Astyanax mexicanus: one gene and its partners. The protein of the gene in region 2 purifies or fractionates together with the protein of the main gene of each other region. This does not show direct contact. Links are inferred from orthologs where the notes say so. Each region holds a gene or a part of one and is shown on either strand. Other genes may lie near its edges. The genes, in order: ddx39b, zc3h11a, SAP domain-containing ribonucleoprotein and ncbp3.

The links.
Region 1: the proteins of zc3h11a (region 2) and ddx39b purify together in Homo sapiens (affinity purification with mass spectrometry; 4 studies listed by BioGRID and IntAct, with this or other methods). This does not show direct contact. The link is inferred for Astyanax mexicanus from reciprocal best matches to the Homo sapiens genes ZC3H11A and DDX39B.
Region 3: the proteins of zc3h11a (region 2) and SAP domain-containing ribonucleoprotein purify together in Homo sapiens (affinity purification with mass spectrometry; 3 studies listed by BioGRID and IntAct, counting the BioPlex papers as one, with this or other methods). This does not show direct contact. The link is inferred for Astyanax mexicanus from reciprocal best matches to the Homo sapiens genes ZC3H11A and SARNP.
Region 4: the proteins of zc3h11a (region 2) and ncbp3 purify together in Homo sapiens (co-immunoprecipitation; 3 studies listed by BioGRID and IntAct, with this or other methods). This does not show direct contact. The link is inferred for Astyanax mexicanus from reciprocal best matches to the Homo sapiens genes ZC3H11A and NCBP3.

What each region holds. Positions count from the first base shown.
Region 1 is NC_064410.1:37,556,069-37,563,373, forward strand, and holds the start of ddx39b (DEAD (Asp-Glu-Ala-Asp) box polypeptide 39B), read left to right. Parts: upstream 1-3,999; 5' UTR 4,000-4,089; intron 4,090-6,708; 5' UTR 6,709-6,709; coding exon 6,710-6,944; intron 6,945-7,305. Other genes in the region: polr1h (DNA-directed RNA polymerase I subunit RPA12), read right to left, coding at 1,221-1,245, 1,526-1,635, 1,783-1,886, 2,494-2,611. UniProt on the Homo sapiens protein: Involved in nuclear export of spliced and unspliced mRNA. Component of the TREX complex which is thought to couple mRNA transcription, processing and nuclear export, and specifically associates with spliced mRNA and not with unspliced pre-mRNA.
Region 2 is NC_064431.1:18,519,546-18,527,784, reverse strand, and holds the start of zc3h11a (zinc finger CCCH domain-containing protein 11A), read left to right. Parts: upstream 1-5,128; 5' UTR 5,129-5,256; intron 5,257-5,832; 5' UTR 5,833-5,875; exon of another isoform or gene 5,876-7,577; 5' UTR 7,578-7,883; intron 7,884-8,239. UniProt on the Homo sapiens protein: Through its association with TREX complex components, may participate in the export and post-transcriptional coordination of selected mRNA transcripts, including those required to maintain the metabolic processes in embryonic cells.
Region 3 is NC_064431.1:13,306,539-13,314,697, forward strand, and holds the start of SAP domain-containing ribonucleoprotein, read left to right. Parts: upstream 1-5,008; 5' UTR 5,009-5,089; intron 5,090-5,835; exon of another isoform or gene 5,836-5,869; intron 5,870-6,158; 5' UTR 6,159-6,252; coding exon 6,253-6,285; intron 6,286-7,902; coding exon 7,903-8,002; intron 8,003-8,159. Other genes in the region: cdk2 (cyclin-dependent kinase 2), read left to right, coding at 45-215, 412-513, 701-904, 1,780-1,884. UniProt on the Homo sapiens protein: Binds both single-stranded and double-stranded DNA with higher affinity for the single-stranded form. Specifically binds to scaffold/matrix attachment region DNA. Also binds single-stranded RNA. Enhances RNA unwinding activity of DDX39A.
Region 4 is NC_064424.1:10,355,993-10,363,248, reverse strand, and holds the start of ncbp3 (nuclear cap-binding protein subunit 3), read right to left. Parts: upstream 3,132-7,256; 5' UTR 2,956-3,131; coding exon 2,773-2,955; intron 589-2,772; coding exon 523-588; intron 438-522; coding exon 332-437; intron 1-331. UniProt on the Homo sapiens protein: Associates with NCBP1/CBP80 to form an alternative cap-binding complex (CBC) which plays a key role in mRNA export. NCBP3 serves as adapter protein linking the capped RNAs (m7GpppG-capped RNA) to NCBP1/CBP80.

The DNA of each region.
Region 1 (7,305 bases), on a different chromosome or scaffold from region 2:
TCCAAATAACGATTTAAAAATTTTAAAATCCTACATATAAGTATTACATTTATTTTGCACTTTATGTTTCCCTAAAGCCAACAGTTCTACGCTTCTTTTTATGAACATTTGTTCTTTCTTTCTAAATTCATAACTATATACATTCGGCTCTAGAAAAAACGATAAGAGGTGACTTCAGTTTCTGAATCAGTTTTTTCTATTTATAGGTATATGTTTGAGTAAAATGAACACTGTTGTTTTATTCTACAGACAACATTCCTTCCAAATTCCAAAATAAAATATGACAATTATTAAAGCATTTATTTGCAGAAAATGAAAAATGGCTGAAATAACAGAAAAGAGCTTTCAGACCTCAATAATGCATAGAAAACAAGTTCATATTCATAAGGTTTTAAGAGTTCAGAAATCAATATTTGGTGGATTAACCTTGTTTTTTAATCACAGTTTTCATGCATCTTGGCATGTTCTCTACTACCAGTCTTACACACAGCTTTTGGATAACCAAAATTCAATCAGTTCAGACCGCCTAAGTGGTCTATTATTTGTTTCCAGAGCTGCATTTTTATGTATATACGTTTTTACTATGCGTTTTGGGACTGGTATGTGTAAGCAAGTTAGGTTCCAGTTGACTGCCCTTTACTGAACTCGTTTAAAAAGGAGTCATGTATGAAACACTCTATGAATGTGTATGAATGAAAAAAACTGTATGAATTTGAAAAGGTAAGGCTTAGCTGATGTAGCCAGAAAATACAATAACTATAAATGAAAAGAAAAACACAATACTTTCGAAATATACTAAAAACAAAAAGAACACAACAGCCCATCTCACATTTGCCAAAAAACATCTTGATTATCCCCATCACAGCAACCTTAAAGTGTAGTTAATTAAGGATTCTGCTGCTTTCTTTGATATTTAACTTGCCCTCATACTTATTCTAACTTAAAATCAAAACACTGAACACAAGACTGCTATTACTACAAATGTCTACTGCAGATATAGACAGAAATAACAAGGTAAAAAGAAAGACATATGCTTGTGCTTCTCACATTTTTTATATTACATTTTTTATTCATTTCTTTTTGATACAAAACATTTTGAATGTACAGCAAAAATGTCCAAGTCCTTGTGGCGTCTTTTTCCATTACATCTTGTGCAGACACAATATTGGATTCACGTTGTTGATCAATGATCAAATACAAGTCGGACAACACCAAACATCTCATGAATCTTCCTTCTCTTGGTGCCTGTAATGTAAACATTGAAATAAAAAAGAAATTAGCTTCTGTAGATTTCTGTGATTTCTTATAGATTGTGGCAGAAAAACTGTATGTTGTCTTGTTCATGTAAGTGGAATGACAAATTGAAACTTAAACACAGATGTTCTTGCCTCTCTCATTTTCACTCTGCCTTGATTTGTGGAAAAAGAATCAATATAAACCTTACTCTGTTCAGAGCACCCCTGCACCTCAGAGAAATCAATGCATTTAGCAGTATGAGTTATTAATGGAGTCACTCTGACATTACCTGCAGTGAATACACGTGAAAAACACCGTTTGGCCTTCATCTGCTGATCTCATTTGCCTTGTGTGGTATACCATTCCTTCTTTATTGCAGCGTGAACACCTTCTGTCCACCTGGTGAAGAATTTGCATAGAAGAAGATAACAATTATAAATGCTCACATTCCCTAATGTTTTTTGTCCACTGTTCACTCTTTAAACAACTGTTGCAGGGCAAAGATTATTTAACAAAATTTTTTAGTGTTAAATTTAGGCAACTTACCACAGGGCCTTTTAGTTCAGAATCCTCCTCACTCTCCACAGTAGTAGAACTCTGCACCAACGGATTAAATACTACAGATGACTTGATAACCTGCCCAGCAAAACCTGAGGAGAAAAAAAAGTTGACTTAAACATTGTCCTGGCTGTAGGTAAAAATCCCCCTGTATATTTCTCAGATTGTCTACTTAATTACAAACTCCTTCCTTGTCCATTCTTTCTCCAAACACGCTATGAGGGTACACCTACCACATAACTCTGAGCAGACGTTAATTGGATCTGGATGGTGATGACATGTTCAAATTAATGCCACTGCTAGGTAGTAGCTCTGCCACTACAAAATAACAAGAACAGTCCATCAACAGATGGGCTATGGTCTTTTATTGTACACCAGCAAGGTGGAACGTCAAATCAGCTTGATCAAAAATCCAGTTGCAGACCAGCTTTTACTGGTGTCTGGCTTTAGATGATCTATGCTGATATTTGATGATCAAAATTGTTGACAAGCCAGTTATCTAGTCAAAAACATACTGGTAAGGTTGGCCAGGTTGATCATGTTTGTTGACCAGCTGAAACATCAAACAAAACATACTATATGCTGATCAACAAGCTGATTTAAGCTGGCCATGCTGGCCGGTTTCCCCCAACATGAAGGTTTTTCTAATAGTGGCCACTAAGTATATCTAAATATCTTTAGGCCAAAATGAAATCTCACCACTGGCAGGAATGTCGAATGAGCACCGAGGACATGTAATGGTATTCTGAATTCCAGGGACTGGTAGAATATTACCACATTCAGGACAGAAGTTTATATCTCCTTGGAAGCAAGACATGGTCCTACATCAAGAGTGGAAATAAATGCACATCATCAAACATTAAATTAAAATACTAATTTGTAAAGTTATACATGACAATCCTACTTCATGATAATTATTAATATGTTCACATCAGCATTACTAAAACAAATACACACAAACTTATGTACCAGTAAGTAACTTTACATAAAACCATATTTAACTAATTAGCTGTAAACACACATTTGTGACTATAACACTATATACATTTCTACATTCTGTATATACATTTTATCCACTTACAATTACTTTGAGCATATGCGATGAGGCATAACAGGATATTAATTCATGCATTATTGTGACTATATGTTTTCTTGAACCATAAACACTATAACGTTACAATTACTTGCTATAGTAAACTCCGGAAGTATACAGACATAAGGAAAAATGGTTAAAATCTGTCTATGGTACACCTCCAGCGAAGTCCAACTGAGATAGGTCAGTGTATGTTTAAAAACAGTTCTGTTTACACTAGTTAAACATTTAAAAAATGGATTTTTACTTTCTGGAACTGGACTAACGTTACCCACCTCTGTGTAACTATAGTTTACATAGGATCTCCAGTGGATTTTGTGTTTTACAGAAACTCTGAGACTAGAGTAACAACACATGTTTCTCCCTCCCACTCCTCCACCGGACTAAAGCCGCTAAATACTAAAACAACAGATTTTTTTATTTTTTTTATTCATACTGAAGACCACAACCAGAAATAAAATAAAATAAATGAAAAAACGATGGCATGAAACCTTTAATATAGCAAACTATATGACAACTGTATGCAACAGCTGGATTTTTTTTTACGTGGAAGGAAAGTTCCAGTTAAATTTTAATAACTTGTATTATCATTGGTTTATTGTAAAAAGAAAAGAAGAAAAAGAAAAAAAGAATGAAAATGTAGATAATAAAACAATTTTAAAACACACAAGTGATCCAAATGTGTGACTTATGCTAACTAAAGTAATTAATCCAAGTTGAGAAGAAAAGAAGTTAGCACCCATGCTAACCACGACAAGACGAAAACTTCAGTTCCACCTTAAAAGACTCAGCAGTTATAGTCTCGTGCCTCAACGGCTGCCCGTGTAAATACAGCACGATTTAAGGTGGAACGAATATTTCGCTTAAGAAGCCAACTTTAGCTATCAACTACACCTAAACACGTGTTTACCAACACAACTAAACCCGACATTCTGCGGTTTCCACCCACTTAACTTACCGTCTAAACAAGCTCTTAAATCCAGTAGTGTCGCTAAAGCCGAGCTGGAAAGCGGAGGAGTTGAGCGACAGATCCCTGAGAGCAGAAGCCGGCCTGCGGAGCTGAGCTCAGGCGGAGCGGAGGACAGCTCTAGCTGCTGGTGGGAGGGAGGCCCTTCGTCTCAGAGCAAATGACGTGCAGGGGAGCAGCAGCAGCGAGCAGGTGAAATAAAAACACACCGCGGAGTGTCTCACAGTTAATCCAGGTAAATGAGGGTTTATATCTGATAAAATGCGGTTAAACACATGCAGCGCTGGCTGTGTTGTTCTGTGCACCAGTCTGTAGTGCAGCAGCGCGTGTGAGCTGCTCTGTAAACACATGCTGCTGCAGATATATACACAGCAGCCCTGTGCAGCTGATATACTGAAACCTGCAAACTTCATCCATTCATTACAATCATTTTTATAATTAATATGGTCATATCCGTCAGCTGTGGGTATTATATTTAATGTTGCCCATCAAGGCTGTGCAGTATTGATTATATATGTATTGATTATATTTTCATATAAAATTGCTATGGTACAATATTATTACTGCTTTTTTAAATAGCAAAACACGTTGGTTGTTGCCATATGTGCCTAATGCCTTCTCCCGTATACGAGCTACAGGTGCAGGTGATACAAAACCCTTTTTTCTGCAGTAAAATAACTTAATTACATTCTGAAAATTTGAGGGCTTTAAAGTCTCATACAGGACACTTGGAGAAGCTATAAAAAAATAATATTAACTAATTTATATTCAGTTTCAGATGTTTTTTTATATTTTTATGTAAAAATTTTATATTTTTTTTTATTTGGTTTGGGATTGTGACTAGTGATGACATTAGCAATTGAGATTTTACCAAATATTTACTAAATCTAATTTACAGATAATTAATCATATGATCTTCTTTTTTATCTTTCTAAATAGTAGGGACGAAGCGATGTGAAAATTCTGGGCCGATGTCTATATCCGATATACACATTTATAATAAAAAATTCTGGAATACAATAAATATGTAAGTAAGTATTGGTTTAAAATAATAGCCATATTTCCATATCATTGCTGAATATTCTAAAAAAATAATAGTATTGGCCGATATCATTGTGCATCACTTAGGGGTGGGCAATATGTCTATAAAATAATATCACGATATTTCAGGGTAGTTTTGCGGTAACTATATACTTGGCGATGTAGGAAAACTAAAATAATTAATTAATTTCAGGAATATAGTATAAGAGTATAACAGCATAATCATAATGTGGCAAAATAAATAATATAGCATAAAATAATATAATGCAGCAAAAATATTGCAGAATATTTAGTGCATGCATATAAACTGCAAACTAAAACAATTATACAATAAATACACCTAAAGCTTCACAGTAAATAATAGACTACTTTTAAGACAGAACAGCCCTATTATCACGATATGGATTTTTTAATATCACGATATTTCTGTGTCACGATATATTGTATACGATATAATATTGCCCACCCCTAGCATCCCTACTAAATAGTTAATACAGGTTAAACAGAACCTTAGTATCTTAGCATACAATACAGAGTCTCTAAAATGTCAATACTTTACTGTAAAAGCTACAAATTGATGGCAAAATAGCTTTTAAGGAATATGTGCATATTAGGCTTGTCTTAAACTGTAATAAAGAATATGATATCTGCAAATATTGATCCTTTAATTAAGTAAATATCAACACATTTAAATGCCTAATCATAATACAATTCGAGAAATACTCATTTTGTGTATCATAAAATAATATTTATATTTAACAATTTGAACACAGTTATGTTGATACTTACAGAATAATGTTTCTTTACAAAATCTTCTTATTGCTTGGGCAATATAATATTGTATGACTTCCCTTCATGTTTAGATTTTGCAGTGCAGATGTTTACTTACATCAGTTTTACTGTTCGTGCCTTTTTGAGCAGCTATATATCAGTATCCTAATATAGTATCAGTCAGTATTTTATCAGAGCATAAGCGCAGCAATTTGATTCTGATACATCAGCTCACAGGTGCCTTGTGCTGATCAAGTCAAGTCAAGTCAAGTCAAGGCTTTTATTGTCATTACATCTGAGTACAGGTACACAGTTTAATAAAATTACGTTCCTCCGGAACCATGGTGCAACATAGAACAACAAGCAATAGACAACATAAAGTGCAGGAGTGACGACAGATAAAATTATAACACTAAATAATAATAAATACAATAAATACAAAAGACGAGACAATTTAAAGACAGGACAGTGCAGTACCGATACGGTATAATAGAGTGTTTAGTGAGGATAAGGTGCAGAGATGTGTAACATACTGTAACATATAGAACATATATAATCACAGCAGTTACTGAGGTAGATAGTTTATAGTTTTTTAGAGTGCAGCAAATATTGCTGAAAGGAATAAAGTCATGTCAGTCTCTGTGATCAGGGGAAAAGAGCGCCATCTACCCACCTAGAGAGTGCAAAGCCAGTTGTGCTCTCTCGGGGCTCTGGCAGCAGATGGCAAGCTGCATGTCCTGGATTCAAACCAGCAATCTCCTGATCATAGTTGCAGCACTTAGCTTGCTGTACCACTCAGCTCCCGAATCAACATTTACATATGTTGAAACAATGTTGATTGCCAGAATTTATTTATGTGTAAACTTTGATTCAAACATTGATTCAAAATTATGATTTTATATTTATTGTTTGTATTAAACTTGACTTAAATTAAATATGTATATTATGTTTGTATTCTATTCATATATCCGTATACCGTTCTTTGCTCTCAGGGTAATGATCTACAGGCTAAATGTTTAATTAGTGTTTTCCCCTTTTTCAGAATGACTGAGAACGACGTGGAGAACGAGCTGTTAGACTATGAGGAGGATGAAGTAGATGCAGCAGGTGGCGTCGGGGATGGAACGCTTGCCGGTGACAGTGGTGCCATGACCATAAGAAAGGAGGGGGTCAAAGGCTCTTATGTGTCCATCCACTCCTCAGGGTTCAGGGACTTTCTTCTGAAGCCTGAGCTTCTGAGGGCCATAGTGGACTGTGGCTTTGAGCATCCGTCTGAAGGTGAGCAGAATGAAGGAAATCTTTAGCCAAAGTGAGAAGAGTAGAATTCCACCTGCTGTGCAAATTCAAGTCCAAAGAAACAACAAAACACAAGCAAGGCAGACTGGTCTTGAGGGAAATAGTGACGTACTGAAGAGTTTGTTTACAGCTGTGCATCTGTCCAGATGGTTTTCTCTAGCACACAGTGTTACCTAATTAAGACTCTCAGGCAATACGGCAGAGAAAGATAGACTGGCATGTTTTGCACTGTACTATATTTAGTTATGTTTACTGTGATGCACTTATTTCAACTAAAGATTAATTGTGCTCTTTTCAATTTAAGATGAAATATGGTGATATATTTTACATACATATTTATTAC
Region 2 (8,239 bases):
GATGGCTTGAGAGGATGAGTTCGGACAGCTCCGCCACCTCCACCGCGTACTCCAGGGTCTGCGGGTCGGCCAGCCTCACGTGTTTGCGCAGCTCGCTCGACTCGAGGGCACGCAGAAAGTGAACCTCCTCTGGGCCGCTCGCAGAAACGTTGGGTAAGCTTGGCGGGTTAGCAGGGCCATCTCCGATGCCAGCACGCCCAGTGTCTCTCCCTGCTGTCGGCGTCTGTCCGCCACTAGCATTTTGGCGGCCGCCTCCGACGGTTGGCGGCTGAAACGTGTTCTCAGCGCCCGCGTCAGTTCAGGCAGCTCGCAGCGGCACTCGGCGGGGAGCTCGATCAGTACCCTCAGCGCGTCGCCCTGCAGCGCCAGGCAGAGGTTGGCTGTCGTCTCGGCGTCCGTCCAGCCCGCACCGCCCGCCACGATCTCAAGCTGAGCTTCGAAGGCTGTCCAGTCAGCGCTGCCGTCGTAGGGGGTAAGGCGGGGTTGAGCCGTCAAGCCCGCCATCCCGGAGGCTTGCGCCGCCATCATCGCGCCGTCCGTTCCGCGAGTCGGCGCCGCGTCGTCCTCTCCCCGGCCACGACCTCCGAACAGCCCGCTGGCGCCGTCAGGTCCGAGTCCACTCCGCTGGAGAGCCTTGCCTCTAGTCCGTTGGTCCGCTGTCTTCCTCCTCAGCCATTCGATTTCCCCTGCCAGCAGCTCAATATCTTCTAGCAGGGTCACTTCTGACACCAAATGTGGCGTGGAAGAGGAAGGAAGACCCGTGAGACTCATGCTGAATGCTCAACAGCTCCTTTATTGAACAGGCTTGCCACTCGCTTACAGTCTTTAACAAGACTAGGAGAGCTAAAACCACCACTAAAGGCCACCAACCCAGCTGTGTGCCTCCCAGATGGCAGATCCAGAGTGGTGCCCACCCTCTCTGCATAACCCCTCCCAAGGGAGATGCCCCACCCCTGTCATCCTCGCACACAGGAGAACAGAAACATGCCTCAGGCAGCCACACACACAACCCAGAGCCGCCACAATATCATATTACAATAATTATTAATATTGCCTCCCCCATGATCTGCTTTCTCTCACTCACTGAAAAAAATTCTGTCCGGGAGGGGGGAAAACCCTGCCCGCCCACACTAAAAAATGGTTGGCTGTCTCACAGACTCTTTGCAGAGAACAGGCCAATCAGAACCCTCTCTGTTTTCTCTCTCTCTTTCCCACACGCGATTACAGAAAAAAAGTTTGGGGCACTCCTTCTGAATTCCGGGAGATTATATGTGACTCGCGGGCATCAAGGAGCCACTACCGAAATGTGGGAGACTCCCGCAGCTTCAGGGAGACTTGGTTTGTCTGCAGCCGGTATGTTTACAGGGTTTCACAACAGTGGCAATACTACTAACTTGAGATCTTATTTAATGCACAACCATCCAGCTGAATATTGAATATAAAAATAGTTCCCGCAGAGAGATCCTGCCTTAAGCTCCACACGATAAACATGCTGATGTTTCTTGCTCAGAATTTGTCTGACAGTTACATTAAAAAATACATTTATAGCAAGAGCTCTGGCCTTTTTTTTTATTTATGGGTGTACTTTATTTGTTGTAGTTATTTAAGATATTAAAATATTTTTATATTGGGAGCCCAATGTCTGCTCTTAATAATATAAAGTTAGTTTAACTGTAAAATTGTGTAATAGTATTGTGCTATTATATTATTAGTGTGGCACATTGTCTTAAAGCTCCTTTTTTAGCCAGAGGCAGGAAAAAGCATTTTCTATAGTGGTGCTTTAAAATGACAATATTATCGTTTATCGCAATAATTTCTGGGACAATATATCGTCCTGAAAATGTTGTTATCGTGACTGGCCTAACTGTATATGACTCCAGACAGTGTTTAATTTACTCTACAAAGGTAAAGCTAGTGGTAGAGTTATTTCAACTCCCCAACTCATTTCATCCAAAATATTATATGATGAGTTTCTTTGATGCTACAATCTAAAAACCTCTGGAATATAATCAAGAGGAAGATGGATGATCACAGGCCATCAATCCAAGCTGAACTGTTTGGCATAAAGGTTTCCAAAAGCAGTGTGTTAGACTGATGGAGGAGAATATGCCAAGATGCATTAAAAACTGTGATTAAAAACCAGGGTTTATACCACCAAATACTGATTTCTGAACTTTATACTTATACTTAAAACTTTATAATATGAACTTTTTTTTTTGTTGCATTATTTGAGGTCTAAAAGCTTTTTTGTTGTTTCAGCCATTTCTCATTTTCTGCAAATAAATGTTTTAAATGAGAATATTTTTATTTGGTATTTGGGAGAAATGTTGTCTGTAGTTTATAAAATAAATCAACAGTGTTCATTTTACTCAAATATATACCTATAAATAGCAAAATCAGGGAAACTGATTTGGTCTGTATATTTCAACTTTTGAACCCTCTGTAACATCTTTTTAATCTTTATCTGTATTAAATAAAACAGCACAACTACTATACATTCTTATCAACATAACTTGCTGAGACCCACAGGGTTCTATCATAGGCTCAGTCTGAAACAGAAAATTATAATAATTAAGGTGAAGAACTAAAGGGTTGGCCCATGTACAGAGTTTAAAGAGTTAACAGTTTGAATAGCAGTTCTTTACAGCTCTGTAAACACAGTCAGTAAGTGTGCAGTATGATCAAGGTACAATTGAGCGAGGCTTTGAAGATTAATACTGCTAATTTCAAAGGTCTCTGTAGATCATAAATCTGTGCAATAAATATAGAGGACAATAAATAATCAGATTTCCAAGATCCCAAGCCTTTCAACAAAGAAAACACTCTTATTTGGGTTCCTCCTGTTTTAGTTTGGTGGAGGATTGGGCGGGGAAGAACGATAGTACTTCGACTCATGAATATTTAATATGCAAACGTATGTCCTTTGATTGGTTAACAGAACTGTGACGGACACACCCTCAATGGCTCTGCAGTGGCCTTCGCAAACAAGTTAAGCGAGGCCGTGAATATAACAATATACAATATACTGGTAGAAGTTATGCTGCCTCAAAGTCCTCCTCAGAAATTTCTACTTATAAGGTTAAAGTGATAAAACATGATATATGTACTGTATATATTACTGTAGGAGCAGGATCCATGCTTGTTACTGACACGCCCCCTAATGTGAAACTCGTGGCTTAAACTGATGTATGGTAAATATTGAATTTACCAGATGAGAGCACATGGACGCCACCACAAACTCTTATTTTTAGATAAAACTCAGAGTTTCCCAGTTGAGGGTGTGTCAGTAACAAAAGGTCAATAGATTACAGTAACTTTATTTAAATTGATAAATAAATTAAATAAAATGATGCAAACAGTTCGTATTGTAGAACACTCGCAGATTGTTATAAGCCAATGTATAAAATCACTAGAATTAGGTGAAAAAACGTAAGAGTCTAATTAAAACATCGCTTAAATAATGTGTGTCTTATTCTCTTCATTCTTTTGGAGTAGGGCAAAATAAACCTCCTATTTTTTTTTATAATAATAGACCAAAACTATCAATTATAGAGCTAAATTAGTGCCAAAACTACGCAAATAAAGAAAACGTATTCTGTAAATATGATACTACTTGCAAACACACGACACGTTTTACAAATACAAAACTCGACTATCTAACACACACAGTGTGTTTTACAAACACAAAACCTGATGGTTGTAAATATATACGTACACTTCAAAAAGTCCACAACTGTTTTCTAATACATTGCTCTTAACAAACAAATATAACATGTTTTACTAATGCAAAAAGCAATAAATAACAAGTAAAACATGATTTTTAAACATTACCGTGTCATGATTCACGAACACGCACAGCTAATTTGTAAATCCATTTTCACTCGAACAAAAACGCTCAAACACATGTCAAGTCGTAATTACCACCTGCAAACCCTTAAGTAGGAATTTAGGAGCCGCCGGTGTCGTGGCGTTCATGTGCTCTCATCTCGTAAATACAATATTTTTGACACCACTTGAAAGCAGCATCAGTCAGGGAGGTTTTCATTGTTCACTGTTTTTCTGTCTGTATTTTATATTGGCTAATGCAGGCAATGATGAGAGTGATGGAGTGACCTGCTGTAGTTCAAACAGACCAAATACTTTTTTTTACATGTTTATGTAAAAAACTATCAATAAAATGATTGTTTATAAATACCTACAATAAAAAGTATATGTCACTATTTATTTACATTTTTTACTAAAACTGTAACCTCAGAGCAACAATATACAGATTTGTCATGGGAATAATGCAAATAAAGCAGCAGTGGTTATTATTTTACTCCAAAAATATAATATAATTCATGCCATAGAGCAGGGGTGTCCAAACTACGGCCTGCGGGCCATTTGCGGCCTGTTTCCTTTTTTGGAGCGGCCCGCGAGGTATTTCAGAAATAGAATGAAAGTTTGCCCGCTGTTAAGCAGGTTTTTATAATGTGAGATTCAAAGCTTGAACGCTAGGTGTCAGAAATGGGCCAAAGAGTCTAAAAGCGGAGAGAGTGCGCATTTCTAGCGCAGAAAAACGGGGCAAAATAGTCTAAAAGTGGAGGAATGCGCATTTCTAGCGATGAAAAACGGGTCAAAGAGTCTAAAAGCGGAGAGGGTGCGCATTTCTAGCGCAGAAAAACAGGGCAAAATAGTCTAAAAGTGGAGGAATGCGCATTTCTAGGGCACAAAAACGGAGCAAAGAGTCTAAAAGCGGAGAGGGTGCGCATTTCTAGCGCAGAAAATCGGGCCAAAGAGTCTAAAAGTTGCCGTAATTAAGGAGTTTAATATTAAGAGACATCATGAAATTAAACATCAATTTGAAAAATCTTAGTTTACACAACACTGTCAAAGATAAAGATAGTAAGTCAAGTAAAATGGTGTGTAAATGAAATAATCAGGAAAAAAAGTATTATTTAAAGTGGTATATTTCATTATTTGTTTTATTACAGAGTGTGGCCCGTAACTTCAAATATATTTCTCCTTCTGGCCCCCAACAAAAATAGTTTGTAAACCCCTGCCATAGAGGGTTAAAATATAAAAAAATAATCCAGCCGAAACATGAACGTTTATTCAAAGTTCTTTGCTGTCAGAGGAACGTCACCGGCGGGGGCGGGGCTATCAGCGCGAAGGCGCAGTCGCCATTTTGTCCGTTTAGTGAAGCTGGCTGGGAGAACCGTCGACCGGGGGACTTAGGAACAAATCAAGTTTTTAACAGTCAAAACCTTAAAACGGGTAATTTTTAACTCTTTATTTATATCGTGTATATCTGAAAGCTGAATATATACATTAAATACGAACAGGCGAGCTCGCGGTTTTCTGCTGGTGTTGAGTTAACTAGCTTAGCTGTTAACTTAGCTATAACAGTTACTGCTATCTGCTGATACTAAGAACATTTGGTAAAACTGCAGAAAAATATCGGGTATTTTTCCGCAGACGGCTCGGTTTATATAGTAAATGCTGAGTGTGGACGGTAGACAACTAATTTAGCTAAGTTAACTAAGCGACTTCTGTTACGTTGTTAGCGTTAGCTAAGTTAGCTTAGCTTTGTTAGAGTTAGCAAGGTTAGCTTACAGAGCTAAACACCACAGGCCCCAGTCTTAACGTTACATAAAGCGCTGAAAGTACAGTTTAGCTAAGTTAGCTTAGCTGTTTATCTGCCTAGTAAACTAGTTACTGTAAATGCTGATACATGTGTGTTGAATTGTAACGTTATTAATGTTGTTAGCTTAGTAAATTATAGTTATTATTGTAGAACTCAGAAAGGTTAACTAGCTAACTATGTAACATCTAAACCGCTTTGTTTTCCAGTAGAAACCGTGAAGTTGAATTTCGCATTCGCCCTGTAATCCTGGTTGGTAAAAAACGCTTTCCTGATCATTTTGTTTTGTTCATTCTCTTGTAACTTAGTTTTATCTCTGTTTTGTTAAACCATACGTGTGTATATTATTTACTAAAGAACATCACTTTGATAACTTGCTGTAGTACACTGCTCAAAAACGTTATGGGAACACTTAAATATCACAATATGACAGTACCACAGTTAGGAAATGTAACCAATCATCAATGTTCACCTGCTTTAGTACAAATTAATTTGCTGAAATGTGCAGCGGGGAGACAACAGCAGCAAAAGAGCCCCCAAAAAATACTGTCTAATCTGAATCCTTCCTGATTGATAATTTTCTAGTCTTGCTCTTTTCTAGTATGTCAGTACTGGTAGCATGAGTCATTACCTGCACCACTTTCAGTTTGCATAGGTAGTTAGTCCAGCTCTTGCAGGATGTTACATTCAAACCTGCTGTCTGTCGCAAAGAGGTTTGCTGTGTCTTCCAGCACATTCCCAAGAGCAAGAAGGAAGATACAAATAGACATGCAGTTACACGAGGAGAGCTGGACCAGTATCTGCTTTTAAGAGCATGAAGGAGCACTGGCAGAGCACTACAAAGTGACCTCCAGTGGGTTGCTGGTGTGCATGGTTCTGATCAAAATGTCAGAAACTGGGTCCATGAGAGCCCAATGCGTGCCTAGCACCATACAGCTCGATTGGCATTCGCCAAAGAACACCATATTTGACACTGAGCACATGTGCAGATATGAACGAGATTAGAATAGTGAACCCATTACACTTTACTGAGTAGTGTATGAGTGTCATTTGTTCCTTAACGAATGGCACAATTTATATCGGTAACAGTTTTCACTTTGTGATTTAAGTGTTCCCTTAATTTCTTTAAACAGTGTAGTTAATCAAAGTGGGAGCAGGCCAGCTGACAAATCTCTACATTGTTGTTGGGGCAAATTGTTAGGGTTGTTAGTCGTAGGTGATTGGGGTGCAATTGTTTCACATTTTGTTAATTTTTAAAGCATTTTATCTGATTACAATTTGTGGATATTCCTTATTTGTGCAGTGTGCTTTGCACATAAAAAAAAACATTGATTGCTATTTGCAAATCTAACCAAAAATTGATCGACAAGGTGAAAAAGTTTCAGGATACCCGTTTATATAATTTTGTATATTATAATTATATTATAAAACACTGTCCTGTGACTTTTGACCCTGTGTTATGAAAAGCTGAAATTCTGAAACCCTATAAACCTTTGTCCCCACCAAATGATAGGTTAGTTTATTTATCATGTGCATTTTTTGTGTCCTCATAGCAAATGTTTGACATTTTAATGTTTTTGTGCATTTCTCAGTCATACCCACTTTCACCAGCCTGTGGGAAGTGTTTTTCTTCTTCTTTTTAAATGTAGGTTGTTCATGAAGAAGTTGTTCAATCCGGAAGTAGCTGGATTTGGATACAGGCTGACTTTGCCTAAAGGCTTCCCCTGAAGATTGCCCTTTTTTTAAATATCACATCCACATTTTTTCCCCCCAACATTGGGCGTTTTTTTGTCATCCCGAATTTTGCCACAATTTCAAATTCTACCTCAGTTAAATTTTCTCACTTTCTCACACACCAAATTATCACCCTGTGTTTGAAGATAGAGGATTTCTGCCCCCTCCCCACTCACCTTCAAGATTTTTGTTCCCATTCTCCTTGGCTCTCGACATCTAGCTTGAAGATATTTGTGCCCTCAAACCCATTCTCCGCTTTCAGAAGTCTTTATTGAGGAAAAAAAAGAAAAAAAAAAAAAAAAAAAAAACACAATCACAAAATGGACTTTTCACCTTTTCACCACTGATCACTTTTTACAAAGCAGTCTATGGAGAGCAGGTCTCTTACAGAAGGAAACCTAGGCCACAAGTAGCCTGTCTCTCGCCCTGTTCAATCTTTACTCATCGGTCAAGTGTTCCTTCAGGATCCAAACAGCTTGGAGCCAGCCCTGAAGAAGTGCACCTGGAAACGACGTGTCCACGGCAGGTGATTGGACCCACAATGTTAAAAATATGCATTTCTATGGGAACTTTTAAGGGTTCTTCAAGAAGAAACTGTGGAGGAACCCCTTAATATGCTTGACAGAACCTTTAAGAAAAAAATGCTCAGTGAAGCACCTTAGGCTTTCTTGAAGGTTCCCCAAAGCATTTCAGAGGTTTCTTTCACAGTTTTAAATTGAAGTATTTCCTTTACATTTAAAAGAGACTACCTAGCAAGGATTGTTGTGATATTGGCTTGTCATGATAATTCTATTTTTGTATGGACAATAAATAGAAATACACTGTTAATGTGCTCTTCTTGCTAAGAAAAACAAAATGGGCTTCATGAAGGTCAGAAAAAAT
Region 3 (8,159 bases), about 5.2 Mb from region 2:
TTAACTGTGTGTGTATATCTATCTGTCCATCCATCCATCCTCAGAGCTACCTGTTCCAGCTGCTGCAGGGTTTGGCTTTCTGTCACTCTCATCGGGTCCTGCATCGAGACCTTAAACCTCAGAATCTTCTCATTAACGCACAGGGAGAAATCAAACTTGCTGATTTCGGGCTGGCCAGGGCTTTCGGCGTGCCAGTACGCACCTATACCCATGAGGTGAGAGAGGAGCCTTATTTGGCTTGTGCTCATCACTGTATGGTGTGTGTCTGCATGGTTTATTGACCCACCGTACAACAGTGGCTATTTAGCGTATTCCGAAATGCCTAGTTTTTCATTAAAAAAAAAAGAAAAAAGAAGAATAATCATAGTTTCTGTTGCTAATTAGACATATTTGAACGGTTTTGTTTTCCAGGTCGTGACTTTGTGGTACAGAGCCCCAGAGATTCTGCTGGGCTGTAAATATTACTCCACAGCTGTTGACATCTGGAGTTTGGGATGCATATTTGCTGAAATGGTAAGAGGTGGTTGGTAGTGTTCACTGTTACAAGACAATCAAGCAATTTTTGCATTAAAAATATGCAATGTAATTGTTTTTTTGTTTTTTTTAAATAAATATGTATTTTAAGATTTCTAACAACAAATCATAGGCTTGTAGATACTTAACCTAAATTGTATGTTTTTTTTCTTGTTAATTTTCTCAGATTACACGAAGGGCTTTGTTTCCAGGAGATTCTGAAATCGATCAGCTTTTCCGGATTTTCCGTACGCTGGGCACACCTGACGAGACGGTCTGGCCTGGAGTGACCTCGATGCCAGACTACAAGCCATCCTTCCCGAAGTGGGCTCTACAAGACCTGGCTAAAGTAGTGCCTCCTTTAGACGAGGATGGAAGAGACCTGCTTGGGGTGAGAGTCCTATCTGCTTTATATTATACTGCCTAATCCTCTGGATTATGCACATTTTAGTATCGAGTTGTCAAATGTGTAAAAAAGAAAGGAAAAAAGGCTAATTTTGTGTGAACATGATTATTTTAAATAGACGCTTATCATAATAAAATAATAAATATGTAAGGCCACAAAGTGGTCCAGCAGGCTAATCACTGACACTATAATCGGGAGATCTCAGATTTAAATCCTGTCAGCACAAGACGTCTGTGAGCTGATGTATCTGAACAGAGTTGCTGCTTTTTCCTCGGAACGTGCTGTGATGCTACTTGGCAATGCTACATCAACAGGAGTTTGAAAAGAGGCGGCGGCTGATTCACATGTTTCATAGGAGGGCATGTGCTAGTCTTTACCCTCCTGGTGTTGGGGCATTAATAGTGATGGGGAGCTGAATAGGTTGGACAATAGGCCTGGCTAAATTGTGGAAAAAAAATGAAAGTTAGAAGTAAATCATAGAAAAAAAAAGTTTTTTTTAATGAGTGAATGATCTGTTCAAAATTAAGGGCCTAAAACATTCTAAATAAAATACATATTTTCCTGAAACACCACCACAGATTAGAGATTCTATTAAATTCAACAAAAACCTAATCTTGAGCCATCTTCATTACATAATTTAACAATTTTAATATTTGAAGGTCTGTAAGGGGATCATTGCAAAGTGTAACCTTTTATTTGGTCCACACTGGTGTTTTATCTTTTGATGAATTGTTTCTACATTTTTCATTTAAGGAGATTTTGTGCACATTAAGAGTGTGTAGGCTGGGGAGCAGTGTTATCTGTGCTGTTCTGGTGTGTAAAGCTTAATGATTTATTTTTACTTTTTCCTCTCCTCACAGCAAATGCTGAACTATGACCCCAACAAGAGAATTTCAGCCAAAAATGCACTCGTCCATCGATTCTTCCGCGACGTCACCATGCCCATGCCCCCTCTGAGGCTGTAAGACATGCAGAGCAGGAAATACACAGACTGACACTGACGGGCTGCAGCGGATCCAAACTAGAACCTTACCTTTTCCTGAAGAATTTCTCCTGTAGCTCAGAGACTGTTCGCCAGTTCTATTCTCACAGATTCTGGAAGCCTTTTAAAAAGAGAAAAACAGTTCAGCCAAAGTTGAGATTCTAAGATTCTGTGGAAAATGTTCTTAATGACATGAGCAGTTTGTTTTGTTTTTTTACCAGCGTATAAGAGTCCATCAGCTCAGGGCTCATATTTTGTACTGTGCAGATGAGACTTCCTCTCCAAATGACATTCCATAATTTGGTGAACTGTGGATTCAGGAATTTGTCTGATTGTTTAACAACAATCTCTTCACTTATGCACCAGCTTCATTCAGAGAAATATTTATTTTGGATGGCTAAAAACCTTTCAATTTCAAGTTCAGGATATTTTTGTAATCTGTGATTTTAAGCCTGTTGAGGCGTTTTATTAATGTTTGCTAATTATACATAAACTTGTTTAAAAAAGTGCTGTTTTATTCGTGTTTATCTTGTTCACCAGCTTGGTTAAGGAATGTACTGACAGTGGGATAAAGGATATTGCAGTTGTTATAAAAAAAATCTACTATAACTGTACAATAACCCTTATTTTTAAAAATTATTGTTAATCATTTTGCTGAAGGACAGGCAGAATTCAGCCTAGCACCTGGAAAGTGAACTGAAACCTTTCTACAGCAGTTCCTGTGTGTGATCTTTGGCATTGGTTGCTATATTTTAGCATCAACTTTGGGTCAATTAGATAACCTTTTAAAGCTGCAGTGCTTGGTTTACATTAATCTCTGATCTATGTTTCAAATTAGATGCAAAGTCTAATTACCACCGTTGTAGTATGACGTTGCATCTATTAGTCAACAGAACACAAAGATAAATTGATTGTTTCTGTAACAAGTCTCTCTTTTTTCTAATATTGGAACTAATGGGTTTAGCAAACAGTTTCTACCAAATATTGCTGAAAAGAAATAAAAAATACACTTTCAAGCTTGAAAAACAAAAACTTCATTAACCACCATATTAAATCCAGAGCATTGTAATAAATACCAAGTGAGCAAGCACTGCATCTGTATCAGCTAGAATACATTTTATACATATCGGGACATGGAAAGTTTAGTTCTTGCTGTAACTAGTTTTGGTTTAAGTTCTTTGGTGTGCAGCACCATTGCATTTCCTGAAGAACTGTAAAAAAAAAATTCTACAACCAGGATTGATTACTGCCAGACCTGTAGAATCAAGACATCACTTAAATAGAACTTGTCTGACAACATAGTGCAGATAAAATATCTCAAAAAGCAATACATTATGCAACAATCATCAAAAACAGTCATTGACGGAATAGGTTTCTAAGTCATTTTTACAGCTTTGGGACTCCAGTGGACCAGACAGAGAGCTATTATTCACAAATGAAAACATGGAACATTGGTGAACCTTCCCAGTAGTGGCTGACCAACGAAAATTATACCAACATGGCATGGACAACTCATCCAGGAGGTCACAAAAGAACCCAGAAAAGCATTTACAGATCTGCAGTCACATTTACCAGGACTTTTTGGAAGGTGTGTGTCCTGTTACGTCTGGCGCAAAACATAATGCATAATTTTAGAAAAATAACATTATACTTAATGTAAAACATGGTGGTGGTAAACAGCAGCAATCATTACCATACAGATGAGGGTCACTATTATAATTTATCATTCAAAACCCTGCTAAAAAATACAGCTCAAGACTCCAGCTGGTCATCCAGAAAAAAAAAACATTCCCTGTGCTAGGATTGCCACCCATTCTGTAAAATATGGAATCGCCCTTTATTTGGCAAAAAATATCTTCAGTAGTTCCATAAATGTCAACACTGCAGACATGTAAGAACACAGAAGAGTCGTGTTATGACTGATTTCATATCTAGTTGTGCTTCTGGCTGAAGATGTCGTGAATTAGGCATAACTTATTTTGTTTTACTGTTGTGGTAAATTAAGAAACCAGTTCAGTTTCTGAATCAGTTTCTCTGATTTAGCTATTTATAGGTTCATGTTTGAGTAAAATTAACATTGTTGTTTTATTCTATAAAATATGGACAAAGTTTCTCCGAAATTCCAAATAAAAGCATTGTCATTTAGAGCATTTATTTGCAGAAAATGAGAAATGGCTAAAATAACAAAAAAGATGCAAATCTTTCAGACCTTAAATAAAGCAAGAAAACAAGTTTATATTCATAAAGTTTTACGAGTTTAGAATTCAATATTTGGTGGAATAACCCTGTTTTTTATCACAGTTTTCATGCATTTTGGCATGTTCTCCTCCACCGGTCTTACACACTGCTTTTGGATAACTTTACACCACTCCTAGTGCAAAAATTCAAGCAGTTCAGCTTGGTTTGATGGCTTCTGATCGTCCATCTTCCTTTTAATTATATTCCAGAGGCTTTCAATTTGGTAAAATTAAAGAAACTCATCATTTTTAATGGTCTCTGTTTTGTGTGTGTGTGTATGTATACATATATACAGTTTATTTAGTTTATATTTTAAAAGTTCTTTATTGCACCCTACACACAAACAGATTATTAAAGACTGAATAAACTGTACTTTTTTTGGAGAATGTATTCACTGCTTTCTTGATCGTCCCTTTACTGTAAACACCAGCACTAAATAAAACATACCCCTGCTGCAGGCACCACACCCCACAGGAGTCACCCAGTGGGGGTCATGGATCAGAGGAGCCGTGGTATGGAAGTAAAACAGTGTCACCAGATTTTGAAATTTAAAAGCACTTGAATTTTTAGCACTGAATTATTTTACATTGAATTATTGCATGTGATTTTTTTGCCTCTGAATTAAACACTTTAGTTTTTCAGTATATCATTTTCACTTATTTTATTTTAATGTAAAAAAATTCAAAAGCAAAAATTCAAGTTTTAAAAATTCAATTAAAATAAATTCAGGTTGCTCAAATTCGACCTGTCAAATTCGACTGCTAAAATACAACGCTCAAAATTCGCTGTCAACATCCGGGACACACAGGATGAGCAATCGATTCAGTCTTCAATCGAGCCAACAACCAGCCAATCACATCACGCTCCGAAGATCACGTGACAGGTAGCGCCTCACGGCCCAGAGCCGCTCAACGCGAGTCACAGCCCCCACCGCTGCTGCTGTGGAGAAGGTGAGTTTAAAACAGCTTAAAACAGGGCATTTACCTCACCACTGTGGCCATGTAATATCACTTAAACGGTGTAGAAATCCTCACTTTAACCACGGTTTGCTCTGTGGTTTGTAAAAATATTAAATTAAGATAGATATCCAGATATACCTTTTTAAACTAAATAAATAAATAAATAAATAAAGCTCCTCTGTTCATTTCAGAAAGCACTTCAAACACGAACACTAGATCAATTATTTATAAATACAGACAGACTGTGTGGAAGATAATTACTACTGTAGAATCTGAGATAGTAACTTAGTTAGCTTAATTATAGCTACCTATCTTGCAAGTTAGCTGTGGGACTGTGCGATTATAGACAAGATACTACCTAGTTAGTGGTTTGTTTAGCAATACCTTATTTACACTTTGCTGCAAAGTATGTTGCTTAGTGTACTGGCCACTGTCTAAATAAATATATTTAGCTATATTACACTTACTATACCCCTCTCAGGCTTGTCCTCTCATATCAAAATGTGGTTGGGAGTTCTAAGACAAATTTTGAGACAAAGTGGTGAAATAAAGTGTAAGTAGTTAGCTGAATTGGTAATATTTGTGTGAAATAAGCCTTTGAATCTGTGATATTATATTAAGGAGTAGTAAGTCATTATTTTCGCTAGGTGGCAGTGTCGCGAAAACATAGGGTTCTAGAACTGCGGTCCTGAAACTGCAGGGTCCTAAAACTGCAGTCTCCGTAATTTCCTGAGGACAGAAATGGCACCTACTTGGTGGAGTGGCCCATATGTATGGAGCTATGAAAGAACAGTACAGAATATATAGTGGGCATCCATCATTTTATTTCTGATTTTTAATTTATAATGGTCATGAGCTAGATGTTTTAGATGGGGCCTGTTGTAAATTGTTTTGTTATTGTGTTATTTATTATGCCCAGTCCACAGAAATAGTATTATTGAAAGTAATCTTTATGTTCATTTATATTTGTAATAATTTCATGTGTATTATTATAAGCCGTATAACCAGTTTATTGTCAGTAAAATCGTTGGTCTGATTTAAATAAACCCCTCTCCTGTAGTTGAAGTGAATCAGTCTGAGGGCGGCGCTGCAGCACTGACCGCGCTCTGAGCCACAGAAGAGGGGAGAAGCCTGTAGTGGAGAAGGAGCTAAAAATGGCTGAAGTCGTAGAACTCCAGAAACTGAAGGTAATAAACTAATTTATTCGAGTTAAACGAGAATTTCGTGCTTATATGGATAAATAGAACCGGTTTTTAATCTGATTTATTAGAGAAGTGAAGGGTATAGCGCTCAGTCCACCTTTAGAAAGCTAGTCAACTAGCTAGCTTAGCTTAGCTAGCTAACGTTAGCTTAGCGTTCAGGCTACACCTCACTGCATGTTTACAGAGCTGTTTAATTTAGTGTATGTTATTTTGTTAGCTGTTCTACATACTGCAAATAAAATATTGAGGAGTTTAAAAGTGGATAAAAAAAACAGACCTAGGTTTACCTTATTCGTCGCTTCTGGGCTGTACTTTAAACATTTGTTAAAAATTTAAGTTCCACCTTAAATTGTATCTAAACTAACTGGTGCTAGCTAGTTTAGCTACAATGTGTAAGTTGGTTTTATATGCTTAAAGTAGTTGAAAATCTGAGAATATAGAGATAAACACACTCTTTACTGGTTAATCAGCTCTTAACCAGCTAAAAAATATCATGGCTAGCTCAAGCGAGTCAGGCTGGTTAAACTGGTTGACCAGTTTTGGTCAGTAGATTAAAAGGTTTGTGTTTTTGTTGGTCTACAAGCTAAACAGCCAGTATAACCAACTTGGGGTTTATTTACAGTGGTAAATTGAACCCATTACTATGAATATGCTTCCTTTTAAGTCATATAGTGGACCTACACGTGTTTAATAGCTCTTGCTGTTTGTTAACTACATAATTATGGTAATTCTAGAAACATCTAAGCCTTCTGTTGGTACTGTCTTTCTCTTTTCACAGCCAGTTTTTTTAAAACAGTGTTTTAAAAAATCACACCTTCTCATTCAAATATTTTCTTCATTTATTTCTTTCTTTCTACATTGTAGATTAATATTAAATACATAAAAATCCTCCACAGTCCCCTTATCTAAACCATGAAATTGAGAGCAACTTTTGTCAAGATACTGAGAAAACTATTCCAGGTGACTCTCCCTCATGAAAAAACAATAGTGTGTAGATCTGTCCTCAAAGCTAAATGTGCTACTTAATTCCTATCCGAATGGGATTAGTTTCTTAGGGGGACGTCTGTGAAAAATACTTCACACTTGTACTCGTGATAAAACTCTTGCATCCGGTCTGCAATTAAAACAATAGGTGAGTTTTTTTGGCTTTCTTGGTCAAGTGTGTGTTTAGTAGCTTCTCCATTTCCACTTTTTCTTTTGTTTACGTAGATCTCCATTGAAACGCGCACCCAAAGTGAAATTAAGCAATAAAATCACAGAGGCCCCCATTAAAAGAGAAAATCCCCCCAGAAACCCCCTGAGAAACTAATACTGTCCGGATAGGGCTTTAGATGAGTCTATCGTAAAAACTTATTCTATTTTGTTCAACACATTTTGTATGCCAAATAATTCCACATGTGTTCCTGTATAACTTTACTATCTTTTTAATATTGAATTTACAATGTAAAAAAACTCAAAGATAAATCACGTTGAATGAGAAGAAACCATTTGAATTAAATTAAAACTGAAATCATAATGCTGAAAACTAGCTTTAGTGTTCACATATCTTGATGTACCTTTTATAATCTCTATAATTTATTCTTGTTTTTTTTTTTTAAACAGTTGGCTGAGCTGAAGCAGGAGTGTTCTCTAAGGGGTCTTGACATAAAAGGAAATAAAGGTGATCTGATTGCTCGGTTGCAGCAGTATCTGGAGGAGCATGGTAGGTTTTTTTTAGCAGAATTTAAAGTAATGTATTTTTCTAGCATGTGATTAATTTTATTTGTCATGAAGTTCTAACATAAACAGCCATTGAAATATCAAGCAGATTTTGACCTTGATTTTAAAACGACTTTGACTTTGGGACAAAAGAGATCAAA
Region 4 (7,256 bases), on a different chromosome or scaffold from region 2:
ATAAGTGAGGTCAAATACTGATGTTGGATGGTTAGTTTTATTTTTAAAGTTACTCATTTCATAGGTGATGGATGGAGCTCCATGTCTTAAGAAGACACAGTTCCTCTGCTCCACACTACAAAGCTGGGGGTTTAAAATCCATCTAGCCAATACTTGGCATCAGGAATGTTGAACCAAGGCTCATAAATAGCCGTGCCATTTAAAAATGCTTTTCTATTGAAGAACAGGTCACTGAATTTTCACATCACATAGGACAAATGGTCTTTCATCATTACGCCTACACAAACACTAATGCCATTCAATTTCAGCTTAGCTCAAGTGGAGTACTTACCTTTTTTCATCAGATCTCTGTCCAGAACAACATTTCTCTGAGCAAGATTGTCCTCTGCACGAAAGTGGAATCTCCTTGCTCTTTTTTCCTTCTTCTCAATTGCCTCCTAAACAAATAAAGTTCAAGAAAATAAATGACAAGCAATATTAAGAGAGCTTTTTAATGTCACAATGGAAACAGAAGACCCTTACCTTGGACGTTACATCAATCCCAGTGATAAATGTGCCAGCCTTGTTTTCATATCGTCTGCTTGTGTCCTGAGGAAAGCACAAAATAGTAAACAACATAGCCAGATTTTTGAACTATACAGGTAATGTTTCCTATCTGTATAACAGTCACTATCAAATGATTTTTACTAATAATAAGATTACTGATATTTAAAACTATAGCAGAATCACAGTGGAGACATCTGCAATCACAACTACTATTACAAAACGTAATTACTAATACCTCTAATTGCACTTTACTAGTATGAATGTAATTACAGAAGGAAGTATGAGAGATTCCATGTAAATCTAAGGTAACATATGATTGGGTAAAAGTACATTAAGAATGTGTCACTGTATAAATATAGCTGGCTAAAATCTCTTTATTATGAGCTGGGCAATATATTGATATTTGATTGTACAATGATACACTTTCTTATCATAGACAACATGCTTTAATATGCATATACAAAAACTAATGCATAAAAGCACTGACCAAGCTGCACTTTTTATTGCAAAGTTTAAATGTTTCATTTTGTGATGTGCAGAAAAAAACTGAATAAAAATGTCATGCTTGTTTTGCTACAGATGGAGTGATGCACCATTTTTGATGAAGTGATATAATATTTTACTATTTCTCCCAACTCTGTCAGTGCATGATCACATACATCACAGGTGGTGGGTTTTATGCTGTTCATATTGATACCGAAGGCAAGTCAAGAGGCTTTTATTGTAACTGTATAGGAATTATATTGCATCGACCGAAACTAAAAATATGATATAAATTTTGGTAATATCGTCCAGTCCTTTTTTATTAATCTTTAGATCTGACATCATTACAACATTTCATAGCCGATATCTTTGCAAGCCTATTTCTGCCTCTTGGAAAAAGTAAGGGCCTCCACTAACTAATAATTATTAGATGTTAAGTCATTATTTTATGAAATGCCAAGTCATTATTTTGAGGTACTAAGTCTGGGGTAGTATTTCACATTATGACTTAGCATTAGGGTTGTGCCATATCATATCGTACGCAATAATATCGTCAACATTTTTTTATATTGTGAACGATATTATACCCTGAAATATCGTGCCATATTACCCACCCTAATTATTACATGAGGGTACTACTTTTTTGCTGTTTTTAGCAAAGGAAAATTTCTCACTCTTCTCATTTTCCATAATCTACTAGAGACAGATTACATCTGTCCAGTAACGTTACCATTCATTTACTTTTACCCTGGATATCACTGGTGTATTTATTGACTAAAACAGCTTGCCATATGATGCTACAGCACTAACTTAACTGATCTAAAACTTTTAATATAAAATCCTTAATACTTTAATACTTCAATGAGTGAAATAAATGTTTATTATAAGGCAAGAAAGGAAAAAGAATAAGTTAAATACTATAATATTATAAAAGAACCCAAACCCTCAGAAACACAAGAAAGAGAAGTTAGCCATCTGGCGAGCTAGTAGCCAGGTAACTAGCTTAGACCAAGCTAACTATGTAAAACTGACAACACACAATATAATAACTCACTAGAACATTATGAAATAAAACTGCTTAATAACGAAAACGGCAAACGAAGGCTTTAAAATATAGATTATTTAATTCCTAGTTTTCTGTTAAGCATCTTTCATAATCAACAACTGAACATGACTAACGATAGCTAGTTAGCATAGGTGAGTAACCTAGGTCTAGAAAGTAAAATTCCACCCCAGGATTTTGTATCAAACTGCCTGAACCAACCGCAGAGCAGACGAGGCGGTTGGTTCAAAACACTGGGCTGGATTTTTACTTTCCCGACCTGGGTTACCCACCTCTACTAGCTAGCAGGGCTACATAGCATTACAAGCATTAGCATCAAAACTTGGGACTTGAGCTAACGTTACAACACGTTATTATAGCTAGGTAATTCATAGCGTGTTAGTTAGCTAACTAGGTTAGCTACAGAGCGCCGCCTAAGCTTGTTAAACAACATAATAAAATCCCTCATTTACGGATGGAAATGTAGCTAACACTGTCAAGCTGCGTAACGCATGAGACCCAGTAAGCTAAGCTAGGCTAGTTAGCTATGTTATATGACAGTAGACGTGTCTGTGTAGTGTTGGTTAGCTAGCTAGCTAAGAACGCTTATCCTCCAGTTCCCGTAGCGGCCGAGCTGCGACATCCATCGGCCTCCTTCAGCAGGACACACCGCGGTCTAACTGAGGCCTAGCTAAACTCACCGGTAGCAGTTCCTTCAAACTTCGGCGGACGGGGATAGACTCGAACTCGACCTCGCCTTCCTCCACTTCCATGGGCTCCGCTTCTCTGGCATTTCGATCCGAGTCGGAGTCTGAATCCGAGTCCGAGCGGTCCGAGGCGCTTTCGGGTTTCACGGACACCCGCAGACTGCGAACAGCCGCCATGACATCCAGCTAGCTAACAACGGGAGCTCCGCGCTAACGTCTGTCTCATTGAACACAGCGGAGTAAAACCCAGCGAGCTAAGCTAGCGAGCTAACTAACGCTGCTATAGCGGACACAGAGCGCAGGCTCGGGCACCACAGGCTTCTAGCGCGCCAGCACTCTACTGTAGCAGCCAGATGGAGAGACCACTTGTTAGACAGAGAGAAAGAGAGAGAAAACGTAGCAGATTATTATAACCCGCCCTCTCCACAGTAGTACGGTACAGAACCTCTAAACTGACATTATGTAAAAGAAAATAATAATAATATTAAAAAAAATAGCAATGCGTGACAATCACTTATTAAGGTGTGGGAACGAGATAATTATGTCCTGGCCATATAAGTCGTTCCAACGCTTTAATTTTAAGTCGTGGGCATGCATTAGGATCTTCTGTGGTCATTAGCATAGTGTAGCCTCTACAATAGCTATCAAGGTATACAAATAATAATATAATAATAATAATAATAATAATAATAATAATAATAATAATAATAATAATAATAATATAATAATTATGTTTAACATATAATGTTATTATAACCTGCCCTATTTACATGAGTACTGTATGGGGCCCCTGAAGTGACAAAATGTAAATATATATATATATATATATATATATATATATATATATATATATATATATATATATATATATATATATTAGGATCTTGTTCCCATGCTTTATTAAGTTCTGGCCACAATTTAGGATCTCATTTCTATGCTTCAGTAAGTTGTGGCCATGAACTGGATCTCGTTTCCATGCTTTAACAAGTTGTGTCTATGCATAAGGATCTAGATTCCACGCCTTAATAAGTCATGACCATTTATACAGATCTTATTCCCACACTTTAAAAAGATGTGGCCACAATTTAGGATCTTGTTTTTTCGCTTTAATAAGTTGTGGGCACAATTTAGAATCTTGTTACCATGCATTAAAAAGTAGTGGCCATGCTAAAGGATCTTGTTTTCATGCTTTAAGAAGTTGTGGCCATGACATATGATCTCATTACCATGCTTTACTAAGTTGTGGCCATGCATTAAGATCTTGTTCCCACGCCTTACTAAGTTATGGCCACAAGTCAAGATCTTGTTTTCACACTTTAATAAGTTGTGGACATGCATTCATTCAAGTGTACTGTATAAGAACACTTTATGGGAAACAAAGATGAAAAAACATATGCAAAATACAATTTTTATTCTGGAAAAATCAGCAGTCATAAAGATACATTTAAACATATAGCAGAACAATCATAGTGAAATAAATTAAAACATCTGAGGAATCATTTAGACCACAAGAAACCAAAATATTTCTCTATACATCTTTCCCAGAGAATATACAGACATTCATTTTCTTTCTAAAACAGTGTCACACATTAGAGCTGTTTATAAACATGTGCGATTTTAAATTCTGTTTGGCCATATTCTGATTTTCTAATCCTGCATTAACAAATTTACACAATACATATACATACAGGTGAGATCATCCTACATTTGTACAGCAAGGTCAGTCATGGAATAATGAATTAACATACACAGTACAGCCAATAAAAATGCAAGTGGTACTGAAACTCTTGGTCTGTTGCGCTGCATTTGCAGAAAGGCTGACGAGATCCAGCCATGTGGATTTTACAGACGATGTGAAGAGTTGTGCAGCTTCTGGAATGTCATGTCTGTGGATGAAGGTAGGTGTTTTAATGAGCTGCAACAAGGCATTCTTGGGTAAAAACATCAGACATGGTTGTATTAGCAGCATACCTGTCAAGTTTTGGCCGGGAAACTACCGTATTTTACTCCTCTTTCCCGCCGTCCTCCCGTATTAGTATTTTCCAGTAAATTTCCCGTATTATATATAAAAAAAAACTTTACTAATGAGGCGACAGGGCACTGGTCACTGTGTGTCTCTTAACCAATGGTAGTGCCGGTTCAAGGAGAAAGTCCCGCCTTTCAGGTGAAACAGCCAATCAGGTTCCTGGTTTCGCGGAGCGCAATGTAGGAAAGCCCCGCCCCCCTCGCTGTGAGAGCTAGTCGGAGCAGCTGACGTTAAAGCATATCTGGATATACAGCGAGGTAACGGAGCTAAACATGTAAACTATGATGACGTTGTTTCTGAAACAGTCGGATCAAACCGACTGTGTGCTTAAGAAAATACAGCTTGTGACTCAGTTAGCTTAACTTTACAATTAGATGTTCAACCTGCCCTGATCAGCCAATAACTATTTCATTTTCAAACTGTGTTTATTAATTTAGGTTTGCAGGCCTACTGTAAGCTATAATGAACGAAACTGTATTTATTTTATTAGTTCAGGGCTAGTTTAAGAGTATTGTGGTGTAATTTAATATTTAGAAGGGGCAAAAGAGATGGTTGATCTGGAGAGAGAAAATGTGAAGAGGGCTGAAATTAACTGACTGACAGGACTGGACTGATCAATAGAAAGAAGTATTAATTAAATTATTAATTGTTTAGGCCCCTTTGGACTAATATTTACTTATGCAATATATCTGGTCCATGTCATTTTTGTAAAAGCTGATGATTTCATGTAAATGTCTAGAAAAGGGTTTAACTTAGGCAGTATTATAAGAATTACATATGTAGGAATGTCCACAACATTTCAGTGTCAACAAAGATAGACCTGTCAGATTTTGATAATCTAATTGTAGTTTGTAAAATGTTCCCAGGTGGTTATTTAGATTTATTGTAAACCTGTCTTAAAATATAAGGGATTCTGAACCTCGGTTGGGTTGGTGGGCGACTCGAAGCAGGTGACGGAAAATTTCCCTTATTTTTAAGTCCAAAACTTGACAGGTATGATTAGCAGATTTGGTCAATTCATAGTGACGACTTGAGGCCAAACAAGCGGCAAACAGTAAAACATATTTATGATTCATCAGCCTGTAAAAAGACACTATCCAAAAACAGCTAATCTTAAGTAAGTTATGGCATTTCTGCTTTTATTTGACTTGATATAAACAAATACTGTGCTCAAGTTTGTTTTGTGCATCGAATACAGCACTTGTGAAACTAGAATAAATACTATGAGTGGTATAAGAAGGTCTGTAGTTGGTGGAGTATTAACTGAGTAAAGTTAATCTCTTTAGAACCACTTTGTGCAAATGCTGGAAAATGTCTAATAGCTGAATAACTAATAGCTTTAAACCCAATTTCACTGTAGTTGTTTGAGTTGATGGATGAAAGACATTGGCTGGAAACCTTTAGATTGGAAAGTTTGGTGGTTTAACATGGTCAAGAAATGTCTTCCCTCGACGTTTTAGCCACAAAATGAGGTTTTTAATCTCAGCAATAAGAATTTTTCACATTATAACACATTTATAACATTTTTTAAATCAATTTGGTTTTAGATTTCAGTTCAAGCTCACCTGATTTAAAGCTGTAAGAGTAAAGCCCCTTCCTAAAGTTACCGCCAATTAAAACATTAAAATTAAAACAGAAATTAATACAGTCTCACTAGTTGTAACAGTGTTGGAGAGAGTTGAAGCACACAGTGGGAGAATTTTGTAAATATGATTTTAAAAGGTGTAGACATTTTCATTTTCTATGTGTACTAAAATATTAATTAAGTCTATTGAGTTTTCACTGGTAATTTTTAACATTACCTTAAAATTTATAATGCTACTAGACCCTGTATTGTAAGCCCACACTTCAGTTTTTCACTCTTATAACTATTATTATTTATTATTATTATTTATTATAACATCAGATTTAAAGTCCCTATAATATAAACCTGTGCATCTCCACATAGTTTCTGCATTATGAATAATAGCTGAATAATTAACTTAGCACTCATAGAGACGCACTGATGCCATAGACTCTTCATTTTGCGCACCTGTTGTTTCTCTTTTGGATGGTGTCTGTATTGATTATTGTTCATTGTATTAATTCTAGTATTAATTTATTGGGTAAATAAACTCTTATTGCCCAGATCAGGAGCTTTTAAATTTTTAATAATTTGTACAGGTGCCTAAAAGTGTGCACAGTACTGAAACTAAAATTAAACAACATTCTCATAGACCCCATTTATCGCTTTCTGTGTTAATGTGAAAAAACAGACTCAACTGAGTAATGTACTACAATGTATTCCATCTCTTTGAATCTGAATCTTGCATGCCCTTTACTAAGCATAGAAATAGATGTGAGGAAAAAAACGAAGTCATTTTCTCATCTCATTCCCCTGATTTAGCAGAGGCAGTTTGTCGCTGTCTTTCCTGCCACCAGCATAAAATGTGACAAATGTGCACAATCTGAA